4 linked regions of the Mus musculus genome follow. The protein of the gene in region 4 purifies or fractionates together with the protein of the main gene of each other region. This does not show direct contact. Links are inferred from orthologs where the notes say so. Each region holds a gene or a part of one and is shown on either strand. Other genes may lie near its edges.

What was found.
Region 1: the proteins of Copg2 (region 4) and Cope purify together in Homo sapiens (affinity purification with mass spectrometry; 5 studies listed by BioGRID and IntAct, with this or other methods). This does not show direct contact. The link is inferred for Mus musculus from reciprocal best matches to the Homo sapiens genes COPG2 and COPE.
Region 2: the proteins of Copg2 (region 4) and Copb2 fractionate together in Homo sapiens (co-fractionation; 4 studies listed by BioGRID and IntAct, with this or other methods). This does not show direct contact. The link is inferred for Mus musculus from reciprocal best matches to the Homo sapiens genes COPG2 and COPB2.
Region 3: the proteins of Copg2 (region 4) and Copz1 fractionate together in Homo sapiens (co-fractionation; 5 studies listed by BioGRID and IntAct, with this or other methods). This does not show direct contact. The link is inferred for Mus musculus from reciprocal best matches to the Homo sapiens genes COPG2 and COPZ1.

The regions. Positions count from the first base shown.
Region 1 is NC_000074.6:70,301,135-70,305,571, forward strand, and holds the start of Cope (coatomer subunit epsilon), read left to right. Parts: upstream 1-1,632; 5' UTR 1,633-1,672; coding exon 1,673-1,798; intron 1,799-3,499; coding exon 3,500-3,562; intron 3,563-4,437. Other genes in the region: probable ATP-dependent RNA helicase DDX49, read right to left, coding at 1,189-1,303. UniProt on the Homo sapiens protein: The coatomer is a cytosolic protein complex that binds to dilysine motifs and reversibly associates with Golgi non-clathrin-coated vesicles, which further mediate biosynthetic protein transport from the ER, via the Golgi up to the trans Golgi network.
Region 2 is NC_000075.6:98,562,285-98,566,721, forward strand, and holds the start of Copb2 (coatomer subunit beta'), read left to right. Parts: upstream 1-1,446; 5' UTR 1,447-1,536; coding exon 1,537-1,539; intron 1,540-4,437. UniProt on the Homo sapiens protein: The coatomer is a cytosolic protein complex that binds to dilysine motifs and reversibly associates with Golgi non-clathrin-coated vesicles, which further mediate biosynthetic protein transport from the ER, via the Golgi up to the trans Golgi network.
Region 3 is NC_000081.6:103,293,213-103,296,968, reverse strand, and holds part of Copz1 (coatomer subunit zeta-1), read right to left. Parts: intron 2,248-3,756; coding exon 2,192-2,247; intron 437-2,191; coding exon 359-436; intron 236-358; coding exon 184-235; intron 1-183. UniProt on the Homo sapiens protein: The coatomer is a cytosolic protein complex that binds to dilysine motifs and reversibly associates with Golgi non-clathrin-coated vesicles, which further mediate biosynthetic protein transport from the ER, via the Golgi up to the trans Golgi network.
Region 4 is NC_000072.6:30,809,555-30,813,310, reverse strand, and holds part of Copg2 (coatomer subunit gamma-2), read left to right. Parts: intron 1-463; coding exon 464-567; intron 568-1,592; coding exon 1,593-1,718; intron 1,719-2,323; coding exon 2,324-2,386; intron 2,387-2,840; coding exon 2,841-2,980; intron 2,981-3,580; coding exon 3,581-3,752; intron 3,753-3,756. UniProt on the Homo sapiens protein: The coatomer is a cytosolic protein complex that binds to dilysine motifs and reversibly associates with Golgi non-clathrin-coated vesicles, which further mediate biosynthetic protein transport from the ER, via the Golgi up to the trans Golgi network.

The sequences.
Region 1 (4,437 bases), on a different chromosome or scaffold from region 4:
GCAAGGGCCATGATTGGTCCCTTGGGCATTCCCTCATTATTGTAAGAAATAGATGGGTATGGTCTGCTTTTAGTACGAGGTGAGCTTACAGTTCACTAGAGCTACAGATGAGTTGGAGGCACTGGGTCCTTCTCTCCCCTAGTTAGTCTAAGACTCGGAGAGTTACAGGTGCTCTGCTATGTGACTGAGCCCATGATTAGAAAGGAAGGGCAGCCAGGCAGTAGTGGCGCACACCTTTAATTTCAGCACTTGGGAGGCAGAGGCAGGCAGATTTCTGAGTTCAAGGCCAGCCTGTTCTACAGAGTGAGTTCCAGGACAGCCAGGGCTATACAGAGAAACCCTGTCTCAAAAAAACAAAAAAACAAGGGAAAAAAAAAAGAAAGAAAAGAGAATAGAAGAGAGGCAGCCTCAAGACCCAAACTATTCATTAGAGAAGACTTGGGGCCCCAATGGACCAATGGGATGGGGAATTTGGGGAGGGGAAAAGCCCTGCAGGTCTATGGAAGAAAAGGTCAGGAATTTCCCATATTTGGGGAAAGGCTTCAAAAACTTGCTTGAAATCACCACACCAGCTATTTTTGCCTTTTCTCTATGCTGGTACCCCTTTCTCCAGAATTGAATATTTAAAACTGTTTCATTTCCACTAGTCCCTTGAACGTGTTATTATCTAATTTCCAACAATTATTATAATTGCTTGTTTGAAACAAATTTTCAGGTAGCCCAGGCTGGTCTGCAACTTGCTACCAAACTGAGGATCACCTTGAACTCCTGATCCTCTTGCTTCCACCTGCTCAGTATTGAGATGACTGAGAGTCACCACGTCCGGCTCCAAGGACGCCTCTTTAATGGCAAAAGTGAACTGGGTCGAAGAGCACTGACACAAACACGGAGCATTGGTTTTTACCTGGAGTTTGACGGCTTCTACGTCAAAGCCAGCTCTACCCTTTTTTTTTTTCAGTGCCATGTTTTAGTCATTCACCGATCTCTCCCTATGCTCGGGTGCTACGAAAACTTAAGAGGTGCCACCCATCACCTGTGTGATAATGAACACGAGTCGGTCGCAGCGTAAATGTCAATGCTGCGGGTCAGGGTCCCCGAAACACTCAATGCTGTCCTGATTCCTGGAACCCAAGTGGGGCTAAGGAAGAGCGGGCAAAGAAAGGCATTAAAAGAAAGGCGAGAACTCACCTTCCAGGATGGCCGGAATGCACCCGAGCTGCACCGGCGTGGGCTGCTTCAACCCCAGCTGTCGACACTGTTCTACCAGCCACGACGACAACCCGATCTCAGCGAACCCCGCCATGCTCCAGACCCGGGCAGAGAACCTAGAAATGAGTGCTTCCGGCGCGTGAATGCTACGTCACGTCCACCCCGGCGCAGTCCGGCCTGGAAAAGTTGTGAGAGGACGTTGGCGGAGGAATGTGACGTCACGGAGAGACCCTCTCCAGATCCTTCAACCAATCCGAGCTTTGACCGCTTTTCAGTGTTTTGGTTCTGAAGGCCTTGTGTTTGTTGACGGAATCCGAACTATAGTTCTCGGGAGGCTTTGCAAGGTTTCTTTTTCATCGCCTCTGATTTGTCCCATAGAACTACGTTTCCCAGAGTTCCTGACGACGGGGACCTGCTTCCGGCCTACGTGTCCCAGAAGAAGGTTGGTTAGAGGTGCGGTGACATGGCTCCTCCGGTTCCTGGCGCGGTCTCTGGCGGCTCCGGAGAGGTAGATGAGCTGTTCGACGTGAAGAACGCTTTCTACATCGGCAGCTACCAGCAGTGCATCAACGAGGCTCAGCGCGTGAAGGTGGGCAGCGTGCGGAGCAGCTTCCGGCGCGCTCTGAGGTTCTGGTCCGAGGACTCGGTTTCTCTTATAATTAGGGATGGTTTTCAATTTACTCTGTAACCGAGGCTAACCTTGAGGTCCTGCGCCTCCAGTCTTCACCCCTCCAGTGCTAGGATGACAGGTGTGCACCCCTGTGCCAAGCTTCCAACTTTCTGGTGGTTGATTGACAGGGGCTCACTTTATAGCCCAGGCTGACCTGAAGTCAGGGTAATGGTGAGGTGACAGGTGTGCGCCACTAGCTCCATCATAAAACCTCTTACTGTTTCGTTTTTAAACCCCCCCCGCCCCCCTTTTTTAAGTGTCTAAAGTCAGGCATCATGGTGCACGCCTTCTATTCCAGCACTTGGGAGGCTGATCTCTGTAAGTTTAGGGTCAGCCTGATCTTCATAAGCAGTTCTAGGTCAGTTCGGGTAATACTGTAATCTGTCTTAATAATAGTCCTAAACCGGAGGTAGCTTGGTGTGCCTTAAATCCCAGCACCCAGAGGCAGAGGCAGTCAAGTCTCTGAGTTTTGGACCACTCTGATCTACATAGCGACTTCCAGGACAGCCAGGGTGCTACAGAAAAACCCCGTCTTGAACTGTACCCTCCTCGCCTCCCCCACTCCCCCCAAAAGGGAAGTTTGGTTATAAAAGAAGACAGTCTCCTTTAGCCCAGGCTGGCCTCAGACTCCCCATGTTGCTGAAGAGCACTGAATTCCTGATGGCCATGCCTGCTCTCTGGAGTGCTGGGATCATAGTGTGCACAGCCAAAGCACAGCTTCGATGCAAATGCTCCACAGGCTAAATCCTTGCCCTGGTTTTGTTTTATGTTTTAAGCAGCTTCATATAGCCCAGGCTGTCCCTAGATGTAGCAGTCTTGTCTCAGCCTCCCAGATGCAGGATGACAGGCCTGTGCCACAATGCTCAGCTTGTCTTTAGTTCATTAAAGATGTGACCCGTGTTTGCAACAGCCTGTGTGTGTTGTTGACAGAATCACCTGTCACTCATTCTTCACTGTGCACTCGTGGAAAACAGCATTCCTGCTGGGCTCAGTAAGGGATGGAGTTGGTGGAACTACAGGCTTTCTAGGTATAGTAGCCTTGGCAACAGAGGCAGCACAGAGAGCCAGGAAATGGCAGAATGGGTGTAGAAAGTGGTGGTCTTAGACTTGCCTGTTTTGAATGTGAAACAGAGTCAGGGCTGTGATGGGCTGGGGCATGGCTCAGGTAAACTATGTGGAGGCTTGTCCTTACCAGGCTAAAAAGCTGTTTTGTTAAGGTTCTGGACAAGAGGCAAGAAGATCCAACTTGTTCTCAGCTATGTAGTGAGTTTGAGGCCAGCCTAGTCTGCATGAAACCCTGTCTCCAAAACTCCCAAAATAATAAAATCAAAGCCAAATTCATTGAGCTTGTAAAGCGCCCAACAGGGCTGGGGCATGCAGCTGTGCTGCTGCTGTAGCCGTAGTGGCACTGCACGCTGTGATACTGGGATGACGCTGTGATACTGGGATGACGGCGGAGCCTCCTTGGGCTCGCATCAGTTGAGAGAAGATCAGGGCTTTGCACACTGGGTGCCCTCTGGAGGCTTTGGGGCTTCTGGGTCTCCTGGATTCCAGCTGAGACCCAGAGCTATGAGCCTAGCAGGGAGGCTGCCCAGCCTCACTCTGCATATCTTCTCACAGCTCTCCAGTCCTGAGCGGGAAGTAGAGAGGGATGTCTTCCTATACAGAGCATACCTCGCACAGGTGAGTGTGGACAGCCTGGGGAAGGGCACAGAGTATTATGCAGGAAAGCCGTGGACAGCCAGGCCAGGGGACTGTCAGGATGCCTCATCACGGGGAGGGTTAAGTATGTGTGGTCCTGAGAATTGAACTCAGGTCATCAGGCTTGGCAGCCATCTCACATAGCTTAGACTGGCCTTGGATTCACTATGGAGTCCAGGATGACCTTCCTTTCCTGCCTCCACCTCCCTTGTGCTACCATGCCTGGCTTCGTCATTACCTACAGAAAACACAAGGTGTATTTTCACTTCTGTGTTCTAAAAACAGCCCCAGGCTGTGCAAGGTGGCACAGGCCCGTCTTCCCAGCACTTGGGAGCCTGAGGCAGAAGGAGCTCAAGTTTAAAGTACCCTGGGCTACACAACAAAATGCTGCTCAAAAAGATATATTCCTAGTGACCTCTGAAAAGGTCTTCTTCACTCTGGCCCAGGGCAAGGGCTGAGGTGCCCCAGGAGGAGCCTGGTAAACAGCCTCCTAACCACAGACTGCATCACCACCCTGTGCCTAGGTCAGTCGCACACTCTGTGTGGTTCTGTGTGGCTGTGATCTTCCCAACAGGGCATGGTGACACAGTACTTGGAAGGCTGAGGAAGGGGATTGCTGCAACTCTGAAAGCAGCCTGGTTGAGAAAGGACAGCAAGGGACAGGTGGCTCCAGAAGTAGCTGTGGGTGTCAGCAAGAGATCTGCCAGGTGGGGGAAGGTGGGACATAGCAGACACCCTCTGCCCCCACCCTGCTGACACATGTCCCCAGCTACAGCAGGGAAAACAAACGTGGCCACCTTGCTGCCTGCTGCAGATGCATGTGACACTGCTGTCTTGGGCAGTGTGCTGGTGGTGTG
Region 2 (4,437 bases), on a different chromosome or scaffold from region 4:
TGGGTACGCTATGGCCTGGCTAAGAGCTGATCATAGTCACTATTGCAGAACTTGATGTTGCTGACCTGCAGCAGCAAAAGATGGAGACACAAAATGAGCACGGCAGGTGGGGGCTTAACTCTCCAGCAGGTAAACTACAGGTGTTATATAGATTTAAGTATTATCAACAGGTTCTGTGGAATGGAGATGTTATTTTATTTTATATTTATTGATACTGTGTCAAATTAAAAATGCAAAGAGAATTAAGGAATCAAAAATAATAGAAGCCCAGCTATTCTCCACACTAGATATAGTTCACATTTTAAAAAGTTTCAACTAATTCTTGCAATTGGTTGCGCTACAGTATGCGATTATGTGATTATTCATGTCAATTATGTAAAAATCTCATTACTGAGAGAAAATTTGTTTTTACTGACAGAATAGTAAAAATGGATCTTTGAAAACTATCTGACTTTTTGTATATGAAAAACTGAGGCCTATAAATCTCCCAAGAGCCAGGCACTACCTAATGAAAACTCACCCTTACTTCTCTCAGGCTATACAATTCCTTTCTGGAAACCTAGGCTTTTCTCCAACTAGAGGTTTATAAGGAGCTAAGGGCAACTTCCATTTGTTTCATAGCATTATCTTTTTAAAAGGTGTGTGAAATCGATACACAATGTATTTGCACTTTTCCTGGCAATCATTTTTTTGAAATTCAACTAATTTATTAAAGAGCTATTTTGGCATAGCAGATAGAGCACTGGGCTTCCAGGGCGTATTCTCCCCTGAGCCCAGATCTTAACAACACTACTTACTATGCCATCTTGGCCAGTAAACCTGAGTTCTTTGAGTCTTACATTTCCAATCAATAAAACGGAGACGACTCCTACGTGATGTGGCAGTACCACCAACTGAAGGTACATAGCCAAACAAACGACCCGGTGGATGCTCTTTGAAGGGTAATCACCCGACTGCCTCCGGGAGCCTCCAGAACCAAGATCTCAGGGCTCCTCGGAGCCTCAAAGGCGGGAGCCGCGCCCACATCTTTTCCGCCTCGGTCGGTTTCACCCAAGACCCAGACACCGCTCTGGGCCCCGTTCCGGAGCCCGCTGGAGTACACAGTTTTAGAGCTTTCTTTTCTCTGCCAGAGGCTCACGCTGTTCGGATAGCGCTTCCGGGCCCCTCCACTGCTGCCGACGTTCAGCAGGAATCCAGCACTGCGCTCCATCTTCTTGCCTTTCTGAAACTGACCGAAGGTGAGCAGCCCAGACCGCCGCTAGTCACCGCCCAACTCTGGCCACAGCAATACACTCCATCAGCCAGCTCAGCAGCGGGAGACGCGGAAGTCCGCGTTACCTAGGAAACTGGGGCGGGACCATGCACGGACCGCCTTACGGAGGGTGTGCGCAGGCGCAGAGCCTGGCTCCGAGTACCGCGAGAGTCGCTTCCCGGAAGTTCCACGTCAGTGGGTTGGCCGGTCCACGGGTCGGTGGGTTCCTGAGTGTGTCGCCTTGAGCCTGTGACGGGCAGGGGCTCGCTCGGACAGTCGGAGCCATGGTAAGTCGGGCCTCAGGGGACAGAGAGTGGAGCCCACCGGCTGCGGCGGGTTCCCGGGGCTTCTTGGCTAGGAGCAGTAGCTAGAAGCGGTCTGCGCTGCTACTGCTGCGGCCTGACGGGGTCCTCCTGTCCCGTTGGCGTCCTGGGAGGAAGAAGGCCAGACCGGGAGGCTGCCGTGGTGACACAGTAGTGTAACTGGGTACCCGCGAAGGAGCGGCGCCCCCGACTCTCAGGGCGGTCAGGGCGCCTGTCAGTGCCCTTGCAGTCTGCACCGGGTCCGGTAGTGCAAGTAAATGCTAGAGTCAGGACTCGGATGCCAAAGGCAACTTTGACCAAGTCACTTTATTCTGTCATTGAGGGTGGTGCTTGCTAACCCACCTTCCAGGTTGCGTGAGGTGTTTGGTAGTGTGCAGGCACCACATTGCAAACTTAAGCAGAGGAAAACCAGAACTAAACAAAGTTAAATGTATATGGAGCCAGAGGTGAAATTTCAAATGCTATGGCAGCCCAGCTCGTCGTTTTCTAGTTGATGTTGATTGGGCCTTCTGTGCACACAGAGGATGACCTTTTTGGGGAAGGCCCTGAGATCTGCCTAACTTAGTTTTGAGACATATTTTTAATAGTCAATTAAAAATTGACTTTCCTTCTTCAATGTTTGTGAGTTCCATACCCACACATTGAACCAGCTTTCGGTGGAAGACATTTGAGGAAAACTGTTGTGTGAACATGTGCTGTCATAGTATACAACGACTCTTTACAACTTTGACCCCTGTATCGGTGTTCTAACTAATCTAGAGATGACCAGGAGTGATGGGTAAATTATAAGCACTTAAATAACTGAACGTGAGCGTTTTGATTTGGTGGAGGATACTGGAACCATGTGCAGAGATACTAAAAGATGGCTGTATTTTAAGTCTCGAGTAAAAAGTACAAAACATGACTTTATTTATTTGCTCACTCACCATAGGAGCATTTCACTGTCCTGCATTTTGCTAAACATTTACCAGCTGATTGTCACCGCAGCCTGTGGATAATTATGAGTAATGTTTATGGTGGTTACTATAAGCCGTGCTCTGCTCTAACTGAACTCTGATTTTAATTCTCAGAATGCTAAGAGAGATATTATTATTATCCCTGTTATACAAGTCAAACCTTGGGTGTTAATTAAACTTACTACCATGTGTCTGACATGAGCGCTGCAGCTGAGGCTTCTAGCAAGACTGTGGACCTCATCTATACTACCTGTTCCTCCCGTATTCCCAAATACATATGGTGTGGAGAGAAGGAGCTGGATAAGCACTGAGCCTGCCCTTCAGAAATAAACCACTCCACAAGCAAGAAGAGCTGTGTACGTGGATGGGGAAGAATCCTCTGGCTAGGCTAATCAGAAAGGGCATAATGGTGGCAGTGGCATTTAAACTAAGTCTGGAGTTGAGGATGCAGTGTGAGTAGTTTAATCGTCTAAGACCTGGTATGATATCTTTAAAACACTCATGACTGGGATGGTAAGTATGACTCCAGGAGCGCTTGCCTGCAGTAATGCACATTTTAAAATGGGTGTCTTTACTTTGGGGTATGTGCAGCTATATACTAGGTAGTTCAGAGATCCCTAGCCATTTTGAAAAATCAATTTGAAAACCTTGTTAGGATTATCCTAACAATCCTATTTTACACACACATACACACACCACACACTTACACATACTTACTTGGATGTGGGGGCTTATGTTATGTTGAAGATCCCACTATGGCTCCTGGCATAACATACTTCCTGCTTGTTGTTGACTCAAAGATGAGAGGGAGAAGTTAAATTTTGTGACAGTAATTAGTGGGGCAAACATTTAGAAATCATCGAAAAGGTTTGCTCCCCTGAGATTAGCTTGTGATTTAAAGATGGTGGCTTGAGTATGTTAGAGATGGGCAGGGCTGCATGACAGTGGAGGTGTTCTCACGAGAACTGACTAGTTAGAGCACGGGCCTAAAGCTGGTTTTGGAAGTGAAGAGCAAACAATGAAGAACAGTTAGAAGTACATGTGTCAAACAGACACACAGAGAGAGGAGACTGAGAGCCTTGTTAGGTGTCTGTTTCAGGGCATTCCCTCTGCCGGGTCCTCAGTTTTGTGCTGAGAAGCAAACCTTCGCTTTCTGTTGAATTCATGACTGTTAGGGAACAGCACAGAGGCACCAGCACAGTAACTCATCCTGGCAGTAAGGTCCAGGTTGTGCGCTAGGCTTATGGAAGGGGAAGTGCATTTTAAACGAGCCTACAAGAAAGAGTGGAAGAAGAGAGAGTGTTCCAGGACTTCACTGTGGAATGAACTAACTTTTCTTCTGGAATGGCTTCCCTGGGAGAGACGGAACACAGTCGCTTGCTCAAATCATTTTCTGTTCTGTGGTTCAGAACTGTTCATAGCTGTGGTCTGACTGGAGAAGGACAGTTTTAAACTGTTACTATTTTATGGCTTAAATTTGTTTAAAATTGTTCTGTTTTTCAGTATGTATCTGTAAATTCAAAAGGCCTTTATGAACAGGAGTAAACCCTTTTTGATCAGACATTACTTGCCTACAGTTTAAATGCCCTCCCCATCTGATTATTTTTAAAGAGCTCATTTAATGTTATGGTCTAGGATTACTACAGCTTCATAAATGATATACCTTCACAACATTGTCTGCTACAACACTAATGCATGGACATGAAATTGTGATTTAGCTGATGTTCTAAATTTATTTACCTATCTATAAACTGGGGGTTTCAGAAGTGTCTTCTGAAGTTCCTTGGAGGTCTCTTACTGTTTGAGGAAGTCAACAGATGAGAAGTTTTACCAACAGTAAGATGTGTTGCCCTTCCCGCTAGGTTTATATTTGCACTGGTGAAAGGTGACCATGTTGGTGCACTAA
Region 3 (3,756 bases), on a different chromosome or scaffold from region 4:
AACATAAGTGAGCTCCTCTGCTTCTCTGGGACATGGAGATGTAGAAGCCGGGAGAATGATACATTCGTGTGAAGAGGACAGGAGAAGGTGGGACCTATGTATAAGCTGACCCTCAGCTACACCCACCCAGCAAGCCTGGCTTGGGAGGATCCGTGGAGAGATGGGATACACATCCCTGCTTACCCTCAAAGCCACCCGGTGCACCACTTGCTGGGGGTCGCTCTCTAGGATCACCCTACAAACACAAAGAAGACGGTTGTTTGCTCCAAGGGACCAATTTGCTGTAAGTCAGGTTCACTAGCTGAGGGGCAGCCACCTCCCCTCCCCACTCCAAATACGGGCAGGGCAGAGAACTCACCCTCCATCTACAATTTCATCCACAGCCAAGAAGAGGCCCTCCATGTTCTCCAGCAAAGCTCGCTTTTCTACATTTTTCCTGAATCCCCAAAAGAAGAGGAAAAATTAGGTTGTGTGAGAAAGGAATTCTGGGATACTGTCTAAATAAGGGATCCTAACCCTAACCAGTAACTGCCTCCACCACCCACATGTAGAAGGGAGTGAGGTGAAAAAGAGCCTTTTATACCACTGAACAGTGACCAGAGTCTTGACATTCTGGGGGGGATCCCAAACAGCTAACTTCTGACTCCTAGGCTACTTATCCAGCATGCTGCTGCTGCTGCTGCTGGTGGAGGTGCTTGTAAAAAGACATAGAAGATAGGAAAAAAATTCATAGCTCATAATCTGGAGTTGGTGATGGTGGAAAGGTGGGAGGAGTGGGAATGCAAAACCCTCTGCGTTCAAGCTCCTTCTGAAGTCTCTCTGCCTCTCCCCTCCCCCCAGGTCTGTTCAAACCCTAAAACAAAGGCCAAGGAGGGGCTGGGAACAGCCAGGGGCTGCATCTACCAGCCTCAGATCCGGTGGTTGGTGCATGTGGCCTGTCACATCCGTCAGTATGACTCTTTCTCTAGATTACCCGAAATGAAGTCTATTCATTCACCTGGCTGGGAAATAAATCACCCCCTTCCTGAGGAAACCTGAGCCTCTGGCTGCTGGGTTGTGGGCTGAGAGCACCCGCTGTTCTACTCCACATGGATTTCTAAAATGTGTTCACTTTTAGGAGCTGCTGTGGCTGAAGTTCAGAGCCTTGAATGTTTTCAGAGAAAGTATCTTATATCTTCCCTTGCTTGTGTGCGTGGGAACAGAGGGCTACTGGGGAGGTAGAGGGCAAAGAGCACAGTGGGCCCATTCTGTGTCCAGGGAAAGACTATAAGGGCTAGCAATGGAAAATTGTGGTGTTTCCTCCTTTTCCAAGATAGGGAAGTTTCACCTGGGTCACTGGGTCACTTCCCTGGCCTTCCCCTCCTTCAAACCCAGCGGACAGGCCTAGGAAAGCATCTGGGGCTCAGAACACCATCAGAGTTACTGGACATGACAAGAGTAGGTACAGGCATACAGACGAGGTCCGAGTCTGTACTCCAAACTACTCTTGAAGCTGAAGCAGGGGTTACATGTTCAAGGGTTGCCTGGGTTACAAATAGAATCTTAAGACAGCCTGGGTAAATTTTTATTTGTGTATCAAAGACTCTAAGGTTAAAAGTTGATGTCAAGACACAAAAAGGCTTGAAAAGCTATAGATAATCAACCTCTCGATTATTTTAGAGCATCTGATATGCTCTGCTCCCAACTGAATCTTAAGCATGATGTGTTCTGGTGACAGGATTACGGTTCCTTTACATTAGTTTTCAGAATCAATCTTTCTTTCTTTCTTTCTTTCTTTCTTTCTTTCTTTCTTTCTTTCTTTCTTTCCTTCTTTCTTTCTTTCTTTCTTTTTTTTTTCCCCCTAGGACCTTGTCTTAAATTAAAAGAAAAATAAAATAAAGAAAAAGTTTAGGTGAGAAGCTCAGTGGTAGAACAGTTGCCTACCCTTGGTTCTAATCATCAGGGCAGCCAAAGGAAACAGAGAATAGAGTATTCTTCCTGAAGGACTCTCTTTCCTCCCTCAGTAAGAGAATGATTCCACATGAAGACCATTCTCTCCACCTAACCCTCCACTCAAATTAGTTATCCACAAACAGCAAGTCTATGTCTTACACTGAACCAATTCCCCAGTGTGGCTCAGATTTCCCACTAATCCCGGGCTCTAAGGAATAGGTATTTCCCTTCCAAATTTAAAATGAGAATGGCTGCTCACCTCAGCATCTGGCTCAGGGAATCGAAGAGGCAGTTCAGAACAGCCATAAGCATCAGCTGTTGAGAAAGGAGAAGGAAGGTTCAAGGCCCTAAAACTGCTACCCCAAAACAGACCTTCCACTTTTTATTCCTCACCAAAAAGCATAAGCTTTCACAAACGGCCAGAGACATAATGTGAAGGGCAAACACAACAGCAGAAGGACTCTGGCTTCTCAAAGAAGTTAGTTCTACTAAGCAATTCCACAAGTAGAGGCTTCTTTTTTTTTTTTTTTTAAAGATTTATTTATTTATTTATTTATTTATTTATTTATTATATGTAAGTACACTGTAGCTGTCTTCAGACACTCCAGAAGAGGGGGTCAGATCTTGTTACGGATGGTTGTGAGCCACCATGTGGTTGCTGGGATTTGAACTCTGCACCTTCGGAAGAGCAGTCGGGTGCTCTAACCCACTGAGCCATCTCACCAGCCCTTCTTTTTTTTTTAATTAATTAATTTATTATATGTAAGTACACTGTAGTGTGTCTTCAGACACTCCAGAAGAGAGCATCAGATTTCGTTACGAATGGTTGTGAGCCAACATGTGGTTGCTGGGATTTGAACTCAGGACCTTTGGAAGAGCAGTCAGCGCTCTTAACCACTGAGCCATCTCATCAGCCCCCAAGTGGAGGCTTCTTTAAGGCAGAAACTGAAACAGGACTTTGCTGGTATAGTCCTCTATAGACGATTATAGCACTCTGTGTATTTACTTTTTATTAAAGATTTACTTTTCTCTCTGTGTGTTTTACATGCATGCGCACAGGAGTGCCCATGGATTCCAGAAGAGAGCACTGGATCTCCTTGGAGCAGGAGTTACAAAGAGTATGAGCTGCCCAGCATGGGTGCTAGCAACCAAACTCAAGTACTCAGAAAGAACAGCAAGCATTCTTAACACTAAGCAATAGTTCCACCTGTGTTTTGCTTTTTTGAGGTAGTCTGTCACATAGCCCCCGTTGGTCTTGAACCACCTACGTAACTGAGGTCAATCCTAAATTCCTGATGATTATCCTGCCTATACTTCCCAAGTGCTGGGATAATAGGAGTGCATTGCCATCCCTCTCTGCCTCTAAGTCTTTTTAATAATTATTTTATTTAATGTATATACATGTCTGTCTAAAACTATGTGTGTATACCACATGTGTGCAGTACCCAAAGAGGCCAGAAGAAGGCACCAGAATCCCTGGGATTGGAGTGATAAAGACAGTCATGAGCTCCTGTGTAGGTGTTGGGAATCTCCCAGGTCCTCTGGAAGAGCAGCCAATGCTCTTAACAGCTGCCCTATCTCTTCAGCCCCTACCCCTACGCCTTTACCAAACTGCCTGATGGAAACAACTGGAAAAAAAAAAAAAAAAAAAAAAAAAAAGCTGCCTGATGGATTAGTAAAGAGAGAGATCTTTAACTAATTAAGAGCTGAAATCAGAGGGAGGTGGTTGGAAAGTCCTTGTTAAAAATGGTACTCAGAGCCAGGTGAGGTCATGCATGCTTTTATCTCAGCACTTGGAAAGAAGAAGCAGTGAATCTCTGTGAG
Region 4 (3,756 bases):
TTTGTGATTGCATTTTATAACTAAAGCAATTAACTCATTAGCCAAAGACTGAGACTAACTAGTTTAAGTAAAACAGATTGCCATTTGAACAATGGCTGTCTAGATTCTGAGTGCTAGTTTTCTTTTTGTATCCTTAGAAAGTTTAACATTTCCATTTCTTAGTTGTAGAAAAGCTGTCTTTGTTGAGCTCATGTAGTCACAGGTTCAGGATTAGATTGTAAATTATTATGTCATGGTATTGTGTTCTTCCTAGTGATCTCAGTGCCTTCTCAAATAGCAACATTTCTTTAGTAATTCGTAACAGGTCAAGAATTTTTAGGATGTTAGCTATTATTGAACTCTTGTCATAAAAGTCATATCAGATGACCTCAGCTGCACTCTTCAGGTAAGTGGTGAGACTGTTCGACATCTCTGTATACAAAGACTTAGACAGAAGTGTGCCTATACTATTTTTTCTGATCAGGTGTATGATGGATACTGATGATGAGGTACGGGACCGAGCTACCTTCTACCTGAATGTGCTACAGCAGAGACAGATGGCCCTGAATGCTACATATATCTTCAATGGTCAGTGAGAGTCAGGATTATGGACACATAGCACATTTGTTTGTCAAATGAGCAATGTTTTTTTTTTTTGTTTTTTGTTTTTTTGGTTTTTCGAGACAGGGTTTCTCTGTGTAGCCCTGGCTGTCCTGGAACTCACTTTGTAGACCAGGCTGGCCTGGAACTCAGAAATCCGCCTGCCCCTGCCTCCTGAGTGCTGGGATTAAAGGTGTGCACTACCACGCCTGGCTGAGCAATGATTTTTATGCTGAGTCATGTATTAGCTGACTCCTTTAGGCAGTTGAATGTTTTAAATCTTTGAATGCAATTCTGTTTCTAGAGAAACCCATATTCATAAAGGTATTTTCTAATTTGGTAATAGCAGTTCCTATAAAATAATAGAGAAGATGATTTTTTTTTAAAATATGAAAGGGTCCAAAGAATATGGCTTCTTAAGCTCCCTCTCTACAGAGTGAGCTCCAGGACAGCCAGGACTATAGAGAAACCCTGTCTCGAAAAACCAAAAAAAAGAAAAAAGAAAAAACTTAAGCTCCCTCTTAAATGGCTGTCCCCATTTTCATTTTCTTCTGCTTTTCTTGTTCCCATATAGATAAGATATTTTTTTATGAGAATTGCTTGCATTCTGTTGATATTTTTTATTCTTTGTTCCCATGTTTCCTTGAAAGAAATAAAGCAGCTTATAAGTTTATGAGGCAGATGTCTATAATAATCTTTTGTTAGATTAAGTAGGCTATCTACAGCTTCCTAATGCTGCAACCCTTTAATACAGTTCCTTACATTGTAGCAACCCCTACCATAACATTTTTGTCACCACTTCATAACTGTAATTTTGCTCCTGTTATGAATTGTAATACAAATATGTGTGTTTTCTGATGGTCTTAGACAGCCCTCGTGAAAGAGTACTTTGATCCCCACAGATTGAGAACCACTAGGCTATAGTTTTTTGTTATGTTTCTCTTTCTTTAAAAAGCTTAACCATTACAGATTGTTGAGAATAGATTATAATGTTGAGATTTTCCTGTCTCTAGGTCTGACAGTCTCTATACCAGGGATGGAAAAGGCCTTACACCAGTATACATTGGAGCCTTCAGAAAAACCCTTTGATATGAAGTCAATTCCTCTTGCTATGGCTCCTGTCTTTGAGCAGAAGTCAGGTATCAGAACTGTTTACCTCTATGAGTTTTTCTGTGTGTAAGTCATTTCATAAAAACTTGTAAATATAGCGTCTAACCTGGAGAATAAAAATAGAAAAAGATTTTTAAAAATAGCATAGTTTCTCTCTCTTTCATTTTTTTTTTTTAAATTCTTGTTTGTTTGGTTTTTGAGGCAGGGTCTCTCTATGTAGCCCTGTCTTAGAACTCACTATGTAGACAAAGCTGAGCTGAAACTCATAGAGAGCTACCTGCCTTATCTTCCAAGTGCTGGCATTAAAGGCATAATGTGCCGCCACACCAGGCATATTTTTTTCTCTTAATACTTTTTTTTTTATTCCTTGAGATCTTTTAGTACTAAGATAGATGACATTTTTTAAATTTAAGATTTTCATTTTTAAGCCTCTTTGGTTTTATCCAAAAGCCAGAATAAGAAATATGTCCTAAGTTGAAAAAAAATTTTAATTATTTAATACAAAATATCACAATATTTGAAGCTGTTTGCCACTGTGTATCTACTAGAAGTTATTGCCTTCATTTCTTTCTGTATACAAGGTCAGTTAGAAGTAGAAAAAAATTCACTTGACTGCTTATTTCTGTCTTTCTAGAAATTACACTTGTGACTCCTAAGCCAGAGAAGTTGGCTCCTTCCAGGCAAGACATTTTCCAAGGTATATTTTTATGAATACAATAGTTTTTAATCCCTAGGCATTATAAATTAATAACATCCACTGCTTTTATTCATTTTGATTAATTCTCAATTCTGTACATTTTCCTGTGTCATAGGCTTTAGTGGCTGGAGCTACCTGCTGTTCATGGACTTTCCAGTTACTAGTTTACTACCTGGGACTGTTATTCTTGTGCATATTTTGTTGGTTAAGAGAGAAAGAATTAGCAATTTAGTTTCTTCTTCCCTCCTACATAAAGGAATCTAGTATATAAACTTGGCAACTTAAAGGATTATTTCACAGAAGTTTGGAGATCTCCAAATTGACTTTTCAATTGTTAGTAAAACCTTAAAATTAACCGCTCTTTCTACTCTGTGGTAACTAAAGCATTTTAATAAAGTCTCTTCCTGTCTTCTTCATACTGTACTTGTATTTTCTTTCTCTTTGTACTTAACAGAACAGTTAGCTGCCATTCCTGAGTTTATGAACCTGGGACCCTTGTTTAAGTCTTCTGAGCCTGTGCAGCTTACAGAAGCAGAGACAGAGTATTTCGTTCGCTGTGTGAAGCACATGTTTACTGACCATATTGTATTCCAGGTGAGATAACAAACTAACTCTTGGTTCTTTTATAGCCTTTAAGTACAAGCTGCTATACTTGGAGACAAATAGTACTTCCCTATAGTTTATGATTCTAGTTCCTTTCATAAAGGATTGATTAAGCAACACTTCCAGTTTTCTTTTTAGATGTATACTAAGTTTCTTCCTCTGATGGGCTATTTTTGATAACTAAAATCTAAAAGGATATAAAATTAAAATGTTCCAAAAATAGATATACAGCATAATTTTTTAAAAATCAGTATTTAAACAAGGTCAACTAAGTGTGTTGGTCACAGAACTTAGCTTTGTAACACCTTGAAGTAGAGACAGACTCAGGAAGACACACACTGATGGCTCAGCACAAAGCACTCATAATAAGCCTGTCTGTTTCACAGACACAGTTGGGAGAACACTCATGGCAGGTATAAGGCTTGCCTTCAATCTAATACAAAAAGAAGAAAAGCCTTAGGAGACCTACAGTGCTACTTAGTGTTGAGTATAGTAGATGCCAGAGCTGAACTGTGAACTATGAGTGAGTAGAAACCACTTATTGGAAAGCATTTCTTATTCTTTACAAGTTTTCTATTGCTGACTTTTCAGTTTGACTGTACCAACACTCTAAATGACCAGCTGCTGGAGAAAGTAACAGTGCAGATGGAACCATCCGATTCCTATGAAGTGCTGTGCTGTATCCCAGCTCCCAGCCTCCCTTACAATCAGCCAGGAATATGCTACACACTTGTTCGATTGCCAGATGAAGATCCTACAGCAGGTAC